Linked DNA regions of Arabidopsis thaliana. The protein of the gene in region 3 interacts with the protein of the main gene of each other region in a biochemical or structural test. Each region holds a gene or a part of one and is shown on either strand. Other genes may lie near its edges.

Evidence for each region.
Region 1: the proteins of GF14 PHI (region 3) and CINV1 form a complex in vitro, tested with the Arabidopsis thaliana proteins (one study listed by BioGRID).
Region 2: the proteins of GF14 PHI (region 3) and ABF3 interact in a test that uses a peptide from one of them, tested with the Arabidopsis thaliana proteins (one study listed by BioGRID).

The regions. Positions count from the first base shown.
Region 1 is NC_003070.9:13,121,549-13,127,267, reverse strand, and holds CINV1 (cytosolic invertase 1), read left to right. Parts: upstream 1-1,939; 5' UTR 1,940-2,150; intron 2,151-2,440; 5' UTR 2,441-2,459; coding exon 2,460-2,825; intron 2,826-2,897; coding exon 2,898-3,329; intron 3,330-3,420; coding exon 3,421-3,611; intron 3,612-3,691; coding exon 3,692-4,059; coding exon of another isoform or gene 4,060-4,085; exon of another isoform or gene 4,086-4,509; coding exon 4,510-4,808; 3' UTR 4,809-5,186; downstream 5,187-5,719. UniProt on the Arabidopsis thaliana protein: Cytosolic invertase that specifically cleaves sucrose into glucose and fructose and is involved in the regulation of multiple tissue development including primary root elongation, root hair growth, leaf and silique development, and floral transition.
Region 2 is NC_003075.7:16,293,428-16,298,800, reverse strand, and holds ABF3 (abscisic acid responsive elements-binding factor 3), read right to left. Parts: upstream 3,468-5,373; 5' UTR 2,794-3,467; coding exon 1,906-2,793; intron 1,754-1,905; coding exon 1,460-1,753; intron 1,375-1,459; coding exon 1,303-1,374; coding exon of another isoform or gene 1,212-1,302; coding exon 1,182-1,211; intron 911-1,181; coding exon 830-910; 3' UTR 516-829; downstream 1-515. Other genes in the region: DJ1C (Class I glutamine amidotransferase-like superfamily protein), read left to right, coding at 33-248. UniProt on the Arabidopsis thaliana protein: Binds to the ABA-responsive element (ABRE). Mediates stress-responsive ABA signaling.
Region 3 is NC_003070.9:12,865,072-12,869,392, reverse strand, and holds GF14 PHI (GF14 protein phi chain), read right to left. Parts: upstream 2,268-4,321; 5' UTR 2,130-2,267; coding exon 1,635-2,129; intron 1,545-1,634; coding exon 1,422-1,544; intron 1,338-1,421; coding exon 1,221-1,337; intron 1,032-1,220; coding exon 879-1,031; 3' UTR 503-878; downstream 1-502. Other genes in the region: AT1G35150 (General transcription factor 2-related zinc finger protein), read left to right, coding at 3,155-3,420, 3,584-4,290. UniProt on the Arabidopsis thaliana protein: Is associated with a DNA binding complex that binds to the G box, a well-characterized cis-acting DNA regulatory element found in plant genes.

The DNA.
Region 1 (5,719 bases), 260 kb from region 3:
GATCTCCAAGGCTTTTGTCTTGTCCCTAGTGCATTTGCTATCTCGGTTTGGTTGGTGAGGTGTGATGGTGTTTGTATTTGTGTCTCTCGTTCTGGTGGCTTCTTGCTTTCCTCCCTGTCGGATTGCTACTGGTTTGACTTCGGTGTGAAATCTTTCCGATCTTATTGGTGCTTCCGACGTTCACCGTTTCTTTGGGGAAGCTTTGTGAGAGCTTTTGGTTCCTTTGCGCAATTTTAGTGCTTAAATCTTCGTTTTTTCTTAACGGTTGATTTTTTTTAGATATTTGTTTCTTTGTTTTCATTGCTGGTCTAAATAGTTTCTCCGTTTCTTTGGGGCTTAGCTACCCTCTTTTAAGCTTAATTTCTCGAGACATTTTGTTGGTCTGCCGGCTTTTATATTTGAAATGGTATCCTACTTTGGTTTCTTAATAAAATTCTGGCGACAAAATTTTTTTTTTTCGAAAGATCTTGTCATAAATATTTCCTACTGCCTTTTGCAATACGTTACAATGTTGACAATTAGTAAAATTCCTCATTTTTTCCTTAAGAAAATATATAATACCAAATGATGATGATTCCACGTATAGATGTCTATCTCATTGCGATACTATATTAATATAAATCAATTTCTTCCAATTTCTGACCATCATATTAGTATTATATTGACTTTTATATTTGGTCTGCATTAATTATATGTTCCCCATAAATAGTTAGCAAATCCGGTTCGGATATGTAGGTCCAAAGCCTTTTGTATTTTTATCCACGCAAATTTTTCTTGAATCGTACGTAAATATTGAATTCCACGTTTCCATATACAAAACCAAATCAAATATAATTACTTTTACAACAACCCCATTTACGATTTGAGAAACAAAAACGTAAATAACTTACGAATTTTCATGTTCTTGAATCTTTTCAGCAGGAAAATAGTAAAATAACTCAATGTTTTTATGGAATAATTAAAAAAGAAATAGAGAAAACTGTTTAATTTTCAAATTATTCCAAATTTTGTTAGAAAAGAAGTTGACCTTGAATATCTAGTTTGATTCTCTATTTGAGATAGCTATTTATCCCTTTTAGTTTTTAGGTTCATAAAAATGTACAGTTTTGTACTTTGCACATTATCAAAAATGTAGAAGAAAAGTAAATTATTGATTTGATTGGTGACTTAAAATTATATAAATTTGTTTTACAGATAAAAAAACTATAAACAATACCAAAATAATTAAAAATAATACTAATAAAAATTAGAAAATAACGACTTTACATGATATTTTTGGATATCAGCTTTGAATGGTAATTCATTATCAAAACACTACAGTTTGTATATGTTTGACAATTATCATTCACAAAATTTTTATCAAAAACATTACAAAAATTTTTAGTAGAAAACTTTATTATACAACTTTCTCTGCTTATTTTTTTACAGTTTTACACTATTTTTAAAGCTCTTATAATTGTAGTTAACATCAAAAAAATTTGTACAAATTTGTATTACCAATCGGACTCATTATTTTTGCGATTAGTAATAACTAAAGAGGTATTAGTCCGATTCGGATCTAATATTGGACTTAAGACATTGGAACTTGGGACGACCTCGAATAAACCCTAACAACTTGGAGAGATAAATACATTTAGAGGCTGTCAATTTTCTAAAAAATTAATACAAAAATCATAGTAAATATATTATTATTAAATACCTAGTAAATGTACTGTCCACCTAACACTTCAAAAAAAGTTTGGTGTATCGGTCAAAAAAAAAAACTGGGCAACCGATAAAACAAGTTTCCAAGAAGAAAAACACAAACGCCAAATCAGCCCAAGTCACAAATCCGTCGTCGTTTAGTCCACGTAGACTTCACAAAGTCTACCTTTTTCACCGGTTATAACCGGTAAACTAAAATTCTCCTCTCTTTTACCAGTCCCGTTGAAACTCCGTTAAACTTTTCCGTTTCTCCGTCATTATAAATATCAATCTTCTTCACTCTATCGTTTTTTTTTTTTCCTTCTTCTTCCCTCTCCTATAAATCTCTCCGTCTTCTCTCTTCTCTCATTTCACGTCGGAGATCATTTTCTCCTCCTCCGCCTCCGCCTCCACCGCCACCGCCACCGCCGCCGCCGACGACTTTTCTCACTTACTCAACACCAGAGGTCTCTCTCTCACTGTTTCTTCTTCTCCTTTCTTTCGATTTCGTTTGGTAGATTTTTAGATCTGATTTTTTTCTGGTCTCTGTAGCTTTACTTGAAGTTGACTCTGTTTCTCGTTATAGATCTTGATCTGTTTATGATTTCGAATAAGAACAGCTTCAAGCATAATTTTATATTCGAATAAAAATTAGATGCAATGTGTTTATTTCGCGTGTTCCAACTACACGAGTTTTTTTTTTTTTTTTGGATTAGGAGTTATAACAATCTCATTGATCTTATTGTTTTGATTTTAGATCTTGGTTTAGTGTTATAATGGAAGGTGTTGGACTAAGAGCTGTAGGATCACACTGTTCTTTATCTGAGATGGATGATCTTGATTTGACTCGAGCTTTGGATAAACCAAGATTGAAGATCGAAAGGAAGAGATCGTTTGATGAAAGATCGATGAGTGAGCTATCGACTGGTTACAGTAGACATGACGGTATACACGATTCGCCGCGAGGTAGATCGGTGCTTGATACGCCTCTTTCTTCTGCTAGAAACTCCTTTGAGCCTCATCCTATGATGGCTGAAGCTTGGGAGGCTTTAAGAAGGTCAATGGTCTTCTTCCGTGGTCAACCTGTTGGTACTCTTGCCGCGGTTGATAATACTACCGATGAAGTCTTGAACTATGATCAGGTAAAACTATCGAAAAGTTTTCATGGTTTTATCTCAAAACGTTTCAAAATGTTTTTTTTGCGGTTGTTGTAGGTGTTTGTGAGGGATTTTGTACCGAGTGCGTTGGCGTTTCTGATGAATGGAGAACCGGATATAGTGAAGCATTTTTTGCTTAAGACACTTCAGCTGCAAGGTTGGGAGAAACGTGTGGATCGGTTTAAGTTAGGAGAAGGTGTGATGCCTGCAAGTTTCAAGGTGCTTCATGATCCTATCCGTGAAACGGATAACATTGTTGCGGATTTCGGTGAGAGTGCTATTGGACGTGTGGCTCCTGTAGATTCAGGGTTCTGGTGGATTATTCTTCTTCGTGCTTATACCAAATCTACTGGAGATTTGACTCTCTCTGAGACACCAGAGTGTCAAAAGGGAATGAAACTGATCTTGTCTTTGTGCTTAGCTGAAGGGTTTGACACGTTTCCTACACTGCTTTGTGCTGATGGATGTTCCATGATTGATCGAAGAATGGTATTAAAAGCAATCTTTGATCGAAACTGATTGTTGTTTCTTGTTTTGTTTGGCTATTAAGATTGATTTCTTTTTTTTCCTGTATTTGAAGGGTGTTTATGGGTATCCCATTGAGATCCAAGCGTTGTTCTTCATGGCTTTGAGATCTGCTTTGTCGATGTTAAAGCCCGATGGAGATGGCAGAGAGGTCATTGAGAGGATCGTTAAGCGACTTCATGCCTTGAGCTTCCATATGCGCAATTACTTCTGGCTTGATCATCAGAACCTCAATGACATTTACAGGTATAGTTATTTCATTTGCTTTAGATGATATGTAGAGTCACAAAAGATCACTATAACTTATAGTACATTTGTTTAAAAAGGTTCAAGACTGAGGAATACTCTCACACGGCGGTGAACAAGTTCAATGTGATGCCTGATTCTATACCCGAGTGGGTTTTCGACTTCATGCCTCTCCGTGGAGGCTACTTTGTGGGAAACGTAGGACCTGCCCATATGGATTTCCGGTGGTTCGCACTCGGTAATTGTGTCTCCATACTTTCTTCATTGGCCACTCCAGATCAATCCATGGCCATTATGGACCTCCTTGAGCACCGGTGGGCAGAGCTTGTAGGTGAGATGCCTCTCAAGATTTGTTATCCATGCCTCGAGGGCCATGAGTGGCGCATCGTTACTGGCTGTGACCCCAAGAACACACGGTGGAGCTACCACAATGGTGGATCTTGGCCAGGTCTTTTTTCTTTCCCTGGAGACTGATTGCATGAGACATTTCTTATCTCGCTTAACTGAGATTTTCGCTAGACCTAGCCATTAGGGTTTTTTTCGGTTTGATTTGGGTTTCAATTTTTTTTTGTAGACTGGCATAAGAACAGAAATATTCATTTAAGATAGTTTAGCTAGATTTTAGTTATAAAAACTCAGTACTTAGTTTAGCTACAGTTTGGTTGTGGTTTGGATTATTCATATGAACGTATAGATACATTTTAGTTTGGTTCAACTTTTGTATCTTATGATCGCATTTCTTTCTTAAATATATACATTTGTGGCAACCTTTGATATATTTTGTTTTGAAATGTTTTGATAGATTGAATAATGAACATCATGTTGTGTAGTGTTAAATTTGTCAATAAAATTGAATACAGAATCTGACCGCCTTTTTGTTTCTCTGCTCAATGTACAGTTTTGCTGTGGCAGCTAACAGCAGCGTGCATTAAGACAGGGAGACCGCAGATCGCAAGACGCGCGGTTGACCTCATAGAATCGCGTCTTCACCGAGACTGTTGGCCAGAGTATTACGACGGTAAGCTCGGAAGGTACGTTGGAAAACAGGCAAGGAAATACCAGACTTGGTCAATCGCAGGTTACTTAGTGGCGAAAATGTTGCTAGAAGATCCTTCACACATTGGTATGATCTCTCTTGAAGAAGACAAACTCATGAAACCAGTCATCAAGCGATCTGCGTCTTGGCCACAACTCTGAAAAACCGCTTTAGGTTTTTGTTCCGGTTCTAATATTTGCCACGATATGATTTTTTGTTGTTGTTGTTTGTATGATAATGTTATTGAAAACTTGTGCGGGGACATAGACTTTTTATTGATTGCTTTCTTTCTTGCTTTGCAAGTAAGGAAAAAGAAAATGGGAAAAGCTCGTTTGCCGTTTTTATCGAAATTACACCTTTTTTTTTAATAATTTGCATTTTGGCGCTATTGCAATATGAATATCTTTCAATAAGCTGAAATGACCGATTCTTATTGGTGTAATAGGTGAAATTATCTTTATTATAATCATGATTTGAAGTTAGCCTCCACTCAAATTCAATACCAAAAGCCTCACTCATTTGGTCGATTGATTTCAGTACATATATAATTAGGATAATGTAACACTATTCTAAATTAAACTTATCCATATAATGAGTATTTTACTCTTACGGTAAAAGTGTATTTGAGTATAAATACTTTACAATGTACACATTAAACACTTAATGAGAAATAATACGATTCTGTTATTTTTACTTTCTCTTTTTTAACTCTTGTTTCTTCAGCTTGAGTTTGTTATAGAGGAGAAAGAATCCTAATATTGTATCAGAGCTTCTCCGATCATGAGCTTCTCTTCAATCGAAATTCGTTCTCATTCATCTCTTTCAATTTCTTTCTGATTCATGTTGTATCATTTTCCTCGCGATTCTTCAATTCGTGTTCGTGAGTGAAATCTGAGTTTCTTCATTTTCATTTTCTGACCTAATTGCTTCCGATTCTCTTCTAAATCTCTTTTCAAAGTAATCTCTATCATCTTTTGATCTTCTTTCAACTATGGAATCAAATCCATTTCGTCCATCTTTTCTTGATGCAACATCGAACAATTTCAATCCGCAACATCACAGTTTTTTTTTT
Region 2 (5,373 bases), on a different chromosome or scaffold from region 3:
AAACGCCATAAACAATTGGAATCCTATTTTAGGAGAAGAGAACGACTGTGTATCCTTCAGAGTCAGACGAGCCTATGAATCAACAAATGATCGAAGGAGCCGAAGTTGTTATAGATGGAAACGTGATTACAAGTTTGGGGCTCGCAACTGTTACCAAATTTTCCCTGGCTATTGTTAGCAAGCTGTTCGGACATGCTAGAGCAAGGAGTGTTTCAGAAGGGCTTGTGCATGAGTATCCAAGGCAGTAACCGTTTGAAAGCATCTTGTTCAAGAAACACAGTTAGAAGATGTCTCATTACTGATCTTAAACCGAAGTATAACGGTCCGATGGTATCAAACCACCTCAACTCCAGAGACTTTTCACAAGTATCATCTGTTCAACGTTGATGCACCTTATCCTGAAGCGGGATGCTATCTGCAAGAATTTTGCCAATTTAGTATGTGTATCTAATTTTGTACGCCCAGTTGGATTACCAGATGTTGATGCTAAACTTGATGTTTACTCTCTTCTATAATAAAGGTGTTGACTTGGGCCCAAATGAGCTAAAGAAAAAATTGCAGACAAGATACAAGATAAATTCACTCTGGTTAAGTCACAAAGATGTTCAAGACAAATGATAAAGATCCATTACATCAGGAAGATAAAACCAAAAGATTTAGGAAAATAGAACAGATATGTGTTTATCTATCTCTGTCAAATCCGCCACACTTCAAGATTTACAATCACCCACAGAACCTGCCTAAACTACGTACAAAGCTAGCTTTCTATCTTCTGAGTTGTTCTATAACTTCGGCGCTTTGTTGGGTTCCTTAGACGCCATTATAAGCTCTACCAGGGACCCGTCAATGTCCTTCGCAAGCATTGCCTTTTGCATCCCATTCCCCATGGCTGGCGCAGAGGCTCCAGAAGCTGCAACAACAAATGAGCCAACTTCCGTTAAATCCATGCTCGTCAGATTAGTCTCATGAAATATCCAAATTGGCATTGCAACATATTCACAAATCTTAAATACTTTATGCAGAGTGGGAAATCAAAAATGTGATGATATGTCTCACTTCATGGTATAGCTTACACTATTCTACTCAAAAGCTTAGAATACTGTCCAAAAGTGTAATTCATTATGAGTGAGAGTTAAAAGCCTAGCCAACAACCATAGAGGATATTCAAATCAAGACAGTACCTGATTTTTCTGCTTTTCCATGATTTCAACCTGCATGAAACATTTGGTCAGTGAATACAACCTCAAGAAAATATGAAAATCTCGAGATTCTTAATTGTGATAGGGAAGAAGCGAGACACACTTGTTTCTTCTGCAACTCTTCATTCAATTCTTTGAGTTGCGCAATTTCTGCTTCCAGTTCCATCGTATAAGCCTGTCAAGCAAGAAAGTGAAAAAGTAAATAACATGGTCACAGTTTTAAGGTTTCTTTAATCTCCAAAATTTAAACAAACACTCACTTGCTTGCGAGCGCGGGATCTTGCAGCTGATTCCCTATTCTTTATCATCCTTTTTTGCCTTCTCTCAATCACTTTCTCCAGAACTGCACCTGTTTTTCTCACTCGCCCAAACATGTAAGGAACAGGGGACAAAGATGCATCCAGGGCGCTCTTTGGAGTCAGATCAGGTGACATCTGGCTTCCAGGAGATACTGCTGCAACCGTTACTCCTGTTTTAAAATCGACAGCTTGCAGTAGATTGTTGTTCATAGGATGGTTATGAATTCCAAGTATTGAAGGCTTCACTTCCTGGCACTGCGAAAAAAGTAAAAACAAGTCATGCTCAGATAACTGAAACATACATGCATATCCAAAACCAGCTTATCTTAAAACATGAAGGCTACGTCTAATATTTTTCAGATGATTGTATTTCCTACAAAATGTAGTAGCTTAGGTTCTTTAGTCACCTGTGTTGCAGGTTGAGAACGGTTAACCACATCAACAGTGTTGGAAAATGCTATAGTGGTCTGTTTGGGAAAAGGCCTCTCCTGCGTCTGTATCAGTTGTTGCGGCTGCTGCACCATCTGTGGCTGCTGCACCATCTGTGGCTGCTGCATCTGTAGTGGCTGAGTTTGAGCAGTCAGCAGATCCTGTCTCACCGCTACTCCATTTCCTGACAAATCTTGAGGTTGGTTTGCAACAAACCCATTACTAGCTGTCCCAAGACCTCCATTACTGCCAAATCCATAGAATCCGCCATTGAAGTTAGTTACACTCTCCACCGGTTGAGGTTCTTCCCTAACCACACCAGCCCTGACCAAAAACTCCTCCAAAGTCATCTCTCCCAGCGTTTGTTGCCTCTGCGGAATTCCGCTTGTCCCACCATTAACAACACCATTTCCAATGTCATCCTCCTTCATCAGCTCCTTCCAGACATCATCAACCCTTTTCTGACTAATCGTCCGAGGCAAGGTAAGTGAACCTTGTCTCTGCAAACTCCCACCAGTGAAAAAACCACCACTTTCTCCTCCCACACCAACAGCTAACCCACCAATGTTGTTACCACCGCCGTTAATAACAGTGTTTCCACTATTACCATTGCTGATGTTGGTGTAACTGGTATTGTTTCCCATCATTGAATGACTTTCCTCTGCAGTCCAAATGTTCTTCAAGAGCTCATCCATGTTCATAGACCCAAAATCTTTCCCAATTCCACCACCCCATGAGTTCTGAAACTCATCAAAGGTTAACGAGAACACAGAGTTCTGCCTAGTCAATGGAAGACTAGTCCCCACCGTTGGCTGCTGCTCACTCACACCATCAACAAAGCTCTTGAAGTTTAATCTAGACCCCATTACTCAAGCTTTCGTACAACTAGGAGGATCAAGCTTCTGGATATTTACCTATAAGAAAACAAACAAGCAGAGAGATTATGGTTTAATTATACATACATCCATAAATTCATCAACAAACGAAGAATCTAAAAAAGCACTGATCTTTATCCAGTTTTAAAGTACCAAAATTTAAGAACCAAATCCAAAGCCGTGAGACAAAATCAGATTTTTATCAGTTCCAAAGCTAAACCCAAACAAAAGATCTAAATGAAATATAAGCACAATGAAGTCAAACAGAGCAAATGGTGAAAATGGAAAGGAATCTCCTTTTAATCAGTAAACAAATCTCCAAAACACCCAATCATATGCTTATTATTCAGCGGGAAAAAAAAATCATGATTCTCTTCGAATCAGTGAATCTGAACAAGAAAACCAATCAGTAATAGACAACAAAAATCGATTCATCAAACCAAAAAAAAAAAGAAAGAAAAAAAATGAAGCAGCTCAGTCACACAAACTAACAAAAAAAAAAAGGAAGTTTTTTGTTAATTTTCCTGACCTTCGAATTTATTTTTTTTCTTTGGAAATGGAAAATCAATAATTCCTCTTTGAGAAATAAAAGATACCTGAAAGGGGTCAGAGCGAGAGAGATGGACAAGTGTCCATGGCGTGACACTCGTCGTGATATAAAAGGGTTGGTTTCTTTTGTTTGGATGCGACTATTATTTTATTCTCGATAAGGTTATTATAGTATTATGCCAATTTGACGTCAGATCGTGCGTGAGCCGTAGAGATTGGGCAACGTGGTCCAATTAGAAACGCCGCTTTTTCTTTAAATCATTATCGATACATTTGCGTTTCCCACCAATAAAATTTCGCAAAGTGGAAGCATTTTTGGCCGTTTGATTTCCTAAACGGCGTCGTCGTTTACGAGACCAAGTACTACTACTAGTACTACATCTTGGAACAAATTATCAAAATATTCTTATAACTTTTTTTTAAGGATAGATAACCAATAAAAATTAAAATTGATGCATTCATTAGCAGTATAGTAATGAATACGAGATTCGTTGATCCGTTATTTGAGTAACAATCTAACGTAGTGTTCACTAACACTTACTTAGCTACCTAATAAAATAGGGATCACACTTTCATTTCTTGTAAGTTGATGCACCTATTTGATCGAATGGTATGAAAATTTGGTTGGAAACAAAATAACCAACGTTATTCCATTCAAGGGAGCGCATTATGGAAAAAAAATTATGATACGATAAGATTTGTAAGAAAAAATAAGAAACAAATGGAAGAAGGGAATGGGTGAACAGTCCGGAATCTTTATCACGTTTGCTGCACCTACAAAGGGATGGTCATTTGCCACGTGGCGCACTCAATGCCTGCCCTCTTAACAATATTTAAAAAAGTTGAAATGAAGCAAACATACAATAAAATTATGATCTTGTGTGTTGATCTTCACATGGTGATTGTGATCTTGTCTTCAACTTCTTTATTTTATTACACCATTATTGAGACTTCTTTACATTTGGACTCGGTACAATACAAGTGACCCTTCGTGTCTCCCATCTTTTATTTCTATTTTCAATCTTTTTATATTATTTTTTCTTTAAGAATCTACTGGATTAGGAAAGTCTACTCTGCAATACATACTAGTATTAAACAAATATGGAACCGTGATTTTGTTTAATGTTATCATATAGAATTCACATGGGACTCGACGACTCTTTTGAGACGTGCTCTTTCCCGAATTAGATTTAATTAATTGAAGTTACTTCTTTAAGGTCGTGTAGAAACAAAATGTATAAATTATAACCACCTTTCAAGAATCCAAAACTCAAAACCAACGAAAGTACGAAACTATAACAACCGGAAGAAACAACACACAACCGAAATGCTAAAACGTTGTTAACAAAAACAAGTTTAATGTGTAACTTTTTTTCAGCTAGGCTAAAATCCTAGAAGGTTAAAAGATATATAACCTTTTTTTAACAAAAAAGAGAGAGTTTAATATGTAAGTTGCAACAACAGGGTAAGTTTGAAGAAATTTACTTTTTCTTAATTCCATGGTAAGATAATAACAAAATTACAAAATAATTCTTACAATAACAAAATTAGATCAAAAACCTAAACCACAATAAAGAAAAAGAATGAAACCTTAGTGTCATGCCCATATATATTTATTACTTTCTATGTGTCTAGAAGACCTAAAGTTGTTAAGAGTAGTTGAACTCTTAGAAAGAGGTCCATTGATTGGATCAAAAAGAAGACCTCACGATGCAAATTAAAAAAACAAAAAACAAATAAATTATGATTAGAAGAAAGCTTTGAGGAATGAGTTATGAGGCATAGCATGATGAGGACATTCAGCCCAACATCAACGTTCGGCCCAAACGTCTGCGCAAGCCCAATCCAAGATACGATTAAGGACTTGGTCATGACTTGACTAAGTCTCTCGCATTTCTGTTTCATTGCTAATAATGTGGAGTATTCCACTAAAGTCACTTTTCCATGATTCCATGTTTGTAGGAGTTAAGCTCCATGATTTGTTTCAAGTTGTTGTAAGGAGGTGAACTCCAAGTATTTATA
Region 3 (4,321 bases):
TCAAATTTGTTAAATTTTGTCTTCATATATATAGTTTAATGTTCAAATGTTGTTTGATATGAATTAATGTACGTTTTATCTATTTTTTGTTTTGTAAATTTAAGATTTTTATTTTTTAATTTATGTTTTAAATAACTTTTACATATAATAACATATTTATAATATTTTATACTATAAACGCTTTAACCGCCTAAAACTGTTTAGACCCGATGAAGCGTTGCATTGGGTTACCGCCCAATTAACGCCTAACGTTTTCTTGAACATTAATCTCTACCTTACTATGAGTGATGCTATCAATTAATCAGCTTTTGAGAGGTATTGACCTCGTTCATGTTAACTTTTGGTTGAGGTCTGCAAAACAATAACTGGTGAACGAGGTTGATACAAACTTTGGTAAGTCCCATTTGATTCAAACCTATATGCCCAACACTTGTTATTCCTACGCAAATCTCATCGAAATTCACGCAAATTTTGAGGTCAGTGTTTCCTGTAATAATCTGTATCAGTATTAGCAAGCGCTCATTCTCAAACAGCGTAAATTGTGTGTGCATAACCTAAGCAAACTCAGAAAACACAATTGCAAACGCAGTCACATGTATACAAAAACGCATAACCAGGTGAATGGCAAATCATTAATAAGAGAGAAAACTGAGTTTCAAGTACAAGGCATAAGCCGGGAAATGCAATCAATCAAGAGAAGAAGTAAAACAAAACAGAAATCCAGTAGCATCCACGATTGAGAAAAGCAAACAAAGGACAAGAATTAGACGGCCTTAGAAGCTTCGGGGATAGCAAAGGAAAGATTAGAAAATAAACACCAAGCAGAAACATAATTATAATTGCATAACTTAAGAATACTGAAAAAAGAAACCACAAACTTAGATCTCCTTCTGTTCTTCAGCAGGCTTTGGTGCTGCTGCTTCTTTAATCTCCTCCGGACTTTCGTCCTGATTAATCGTCGAAATTAACACAACAGAATCAGAGATCAAGACCAAGAAGCTCATGAGAGTATTATCATACATAATGCAAAACTAAACCATCTGATTCAAAGCTTATGAACAATGTGTGTGCACAATTCCAGCATCATGAGCCACTAAGCCTATCTATCATATCCATTATCAGCAATGAACTATGTTGGTGGACAATTCCAAAACTATTCTATCATAACCATTATCAGCAGTTTCGATGAAGCAAAGAACGGTTTCGTTTCGATCGTTTACCTGCATGTCAGAAGTCCAGAGAGTAAGATTGTCACGAAGAAGCTGCATGATCAAGGTACTATCCTTGTATGACTCCTCTCCAAGAGTATCTAACTCAGCAATGGCTTCATCAAACGCCTGTTATATCTCAATATCAATACACATAGAGTAGTACCAACACAATGACTCAAATCCCAAATAGATCAGAAACTTTCTCATCACCTGCTTAGCGAGATTACAAGCACGATCTGGAGAATTAAGAATCTCATAGTAAAACACAGAGAAATTCAAAGCCAAACCAAGACGAATCGGATGCGTTGGAGCCAATTCAGCATTAGCAATATCCTACAAACAAACAAAAGAAACACAGATTCACACAAATCATGATTTAACCTAGAAATGAGATCCAACAAAATTCCAGATCGGAGAATAAACCTGAGCAGCTTTGTAAGCGGTGAGAGTATGTTCAGCAGCATCTTTCCTCTCTTGACCAGTCTTAAACTCAGCCAAATACCTATGATAATCTCCCTTCATCTTAAGGTAAAAAACCTTAGAATCTCCATTAGCAGAAGCAGGAACAAGTCTAGTATCAAGAAGCTTAAGAATACCGTCACAGATTTTCGATAACTCAGATTCGATCTTGCTTCTGTAATCACGGATCGTGGTCACATGGTCATCGTTACCACGACTCTCTTCTTTTTGTTCAATGGAAGAGATGATTCTCCAGGAAGCACGACGAGCGCCGATTACGTTTTTGTAAGCGACGGAGAGGAGATTACGTTCTTCGACGGTGAGTTCGTCTTTGTCAACGGCTTCAGCGACTTTTTCCATGAATTCAACCATTTCTTCGTAACGTTCCGCTTGCTCTGCGAGCTTTGCGAGGTACACGAACTCTTCCCTCGCCGAGGATGATGCTGGTGGTGCCGCCATTAGAGATCGGTGATGGATGGATTCAGATCTGAGAGAGATTGAGAGAGATTTTTTTTTTTGTTCTGTTTTCGAATTTCAATTTTTTTTTTGTTGGGGTTTAAAAGATAGTTTTGTTTTTTTTGGTTTTTGTTTGAGTGGGGAGCGACGATTGCGAAAGGAGATGGAAGGAGGACCGTTGGATTAAATTTTGTACACGGGAATTTTCTGATACTTTTTGGGTCGGTTTTTAGGTCATCTCCAACAGCAGTTTTTTAATGAGTATCTGGAGATTAAAAAAATAAAAAGTAATGAAAAAGGTGGAGAAAGAAAGAGAAACGTTTCTCATATGAGAAACTATGAGAAACCCAACTCAACCCCTTGTTATTTATGATTGGTCAGATTTTGTCTTTATAATATAAAATTTAAATAAATAATATATTTATTATTAACTGATTAAAAAAATAGAATTGAGAAACTCATACTGTATCTGTGCGTTGGAGATGCCCTTAGTTTATTTTTATGTGGAAAAAGTTACTTTGTTGTATTTTGATTCCTTAATGGACCTTTTACGTCCATATTGGCATTTTGTAATTTCTGTTGATTGAGCAATTTTTTTTTTAAGTTGAATTTTGAAATTGTTTTGTTAAAAAAGAAAGAAATTGTTAGGTTATTAATTATTATATATTGTATAAAAAATATCTTTAGAACGTTTTATTTTAAAATTAGTGCCAATTTATTTTATGCAATTTATTTTATTTTTCAAAAAAAAAAACTAAATATATATAGACTGTTTAACCTATTAATTTAAAAGAAGTTTTACTTAATGATGTAATAAATAAAATTTTCACAAGACTTATTCTAATGGAAGAAACTTCAAACAATTCTTTTAAAGAGATATGTTCTTAGGAAATAAAAAAATTAGTTGATCAATGATATTTAGTTTAGTATTTGATTTGTTGGAATTAGATTGTACATATAAACTTATTATTACAGATTTTTTTTGTTAAAGTTATGTTAGCTTAATTGTACAAAAATATCACAAGCAGATGCTTGATAACAAGAAGAGAGAGCACATGCCTACATTGGCTCCTCCAAGCAGATGCTTGATAACAACAATAATGTGGACAGTTTGGATGACGAATGAAGTGGATGAGAATGAGTTTGATAACAAAGATCAAGATGAAGTTGTTCATGAAGAGAAGAAAAGTGGGCAGAAAGAAGAACTTCCTTCCAATATTTCCGATCCAGTAAATTGGGATGACATGAATATGAGATTCAGAGATTTATTAGTTGAAAAGGGTCTAGCGACAAGGTTATCAACTAATTACCGGTTTCGTAAAGATAGTATTGGTAGGCATTTTTCTCAAACATTTTACATAAGAGAAATGAGGAATGGGGAGAAACAAGATAGAAGATGGTTGATTTACTCAAAAGCATTAGATTAAAGTCTTTTGTTTTTGTTGTAAGTTGTTGAGACATGACAAAAAAGGTGGTTACTTGGCAACTAGCGGGTACAATGATTGGAGAAATCTTTCAAAGCGACTCAAAGAACACAAAGGCAGCCATGATCACATTACTTGTATGACTCGTCGAGCTGAGTTAGAGTCTAGACTACAGAAAAATAAAACGATTGATAAGCATGCCCAAGAAGCAATAAACAAAGATAATATTCATTGGAGGGAAGTACTCCTAAGGATCATTGCATTGGTGAAAACTCACGCTAAAAATAATTTAGCATTTCGTGGAAAAAATGAAAAGGTTGGCCAAGACAGAAATGGGAATTTTTTGAGTTTTATTGAAATGATTGCAGAATTTGATGTCGTAATGAGAGAGCATATCAGAAGAATTGGTGCAGCTGAGATATATTCTCATTATTTAAGTCACAAGATTCAAAATGAGCTAATAGGTATCTTGACCGGTGAGATTAGACTTATGATCATGAAGACAATACATGCTTCAAAGTACTGTTCCATAATTCTTGATTGTACTCCGGATATTAGTCATAAAGAACAGATGACTATGATCATTCGATGTGTGAATATTTCTTCAACGTTAACGAAGGTTGAAGAGTTTTATTTGACATTTTTGGAAGTGAAAGATAAATCAAGTGAAGGGTTATTCTCTAAGATTAAAGAAGCATTAGTTGATATGGAGTTAGAGATTGATGATGTGAGAGGACAAGGTTATGACAACGAATCTAATATGAAAGGAAA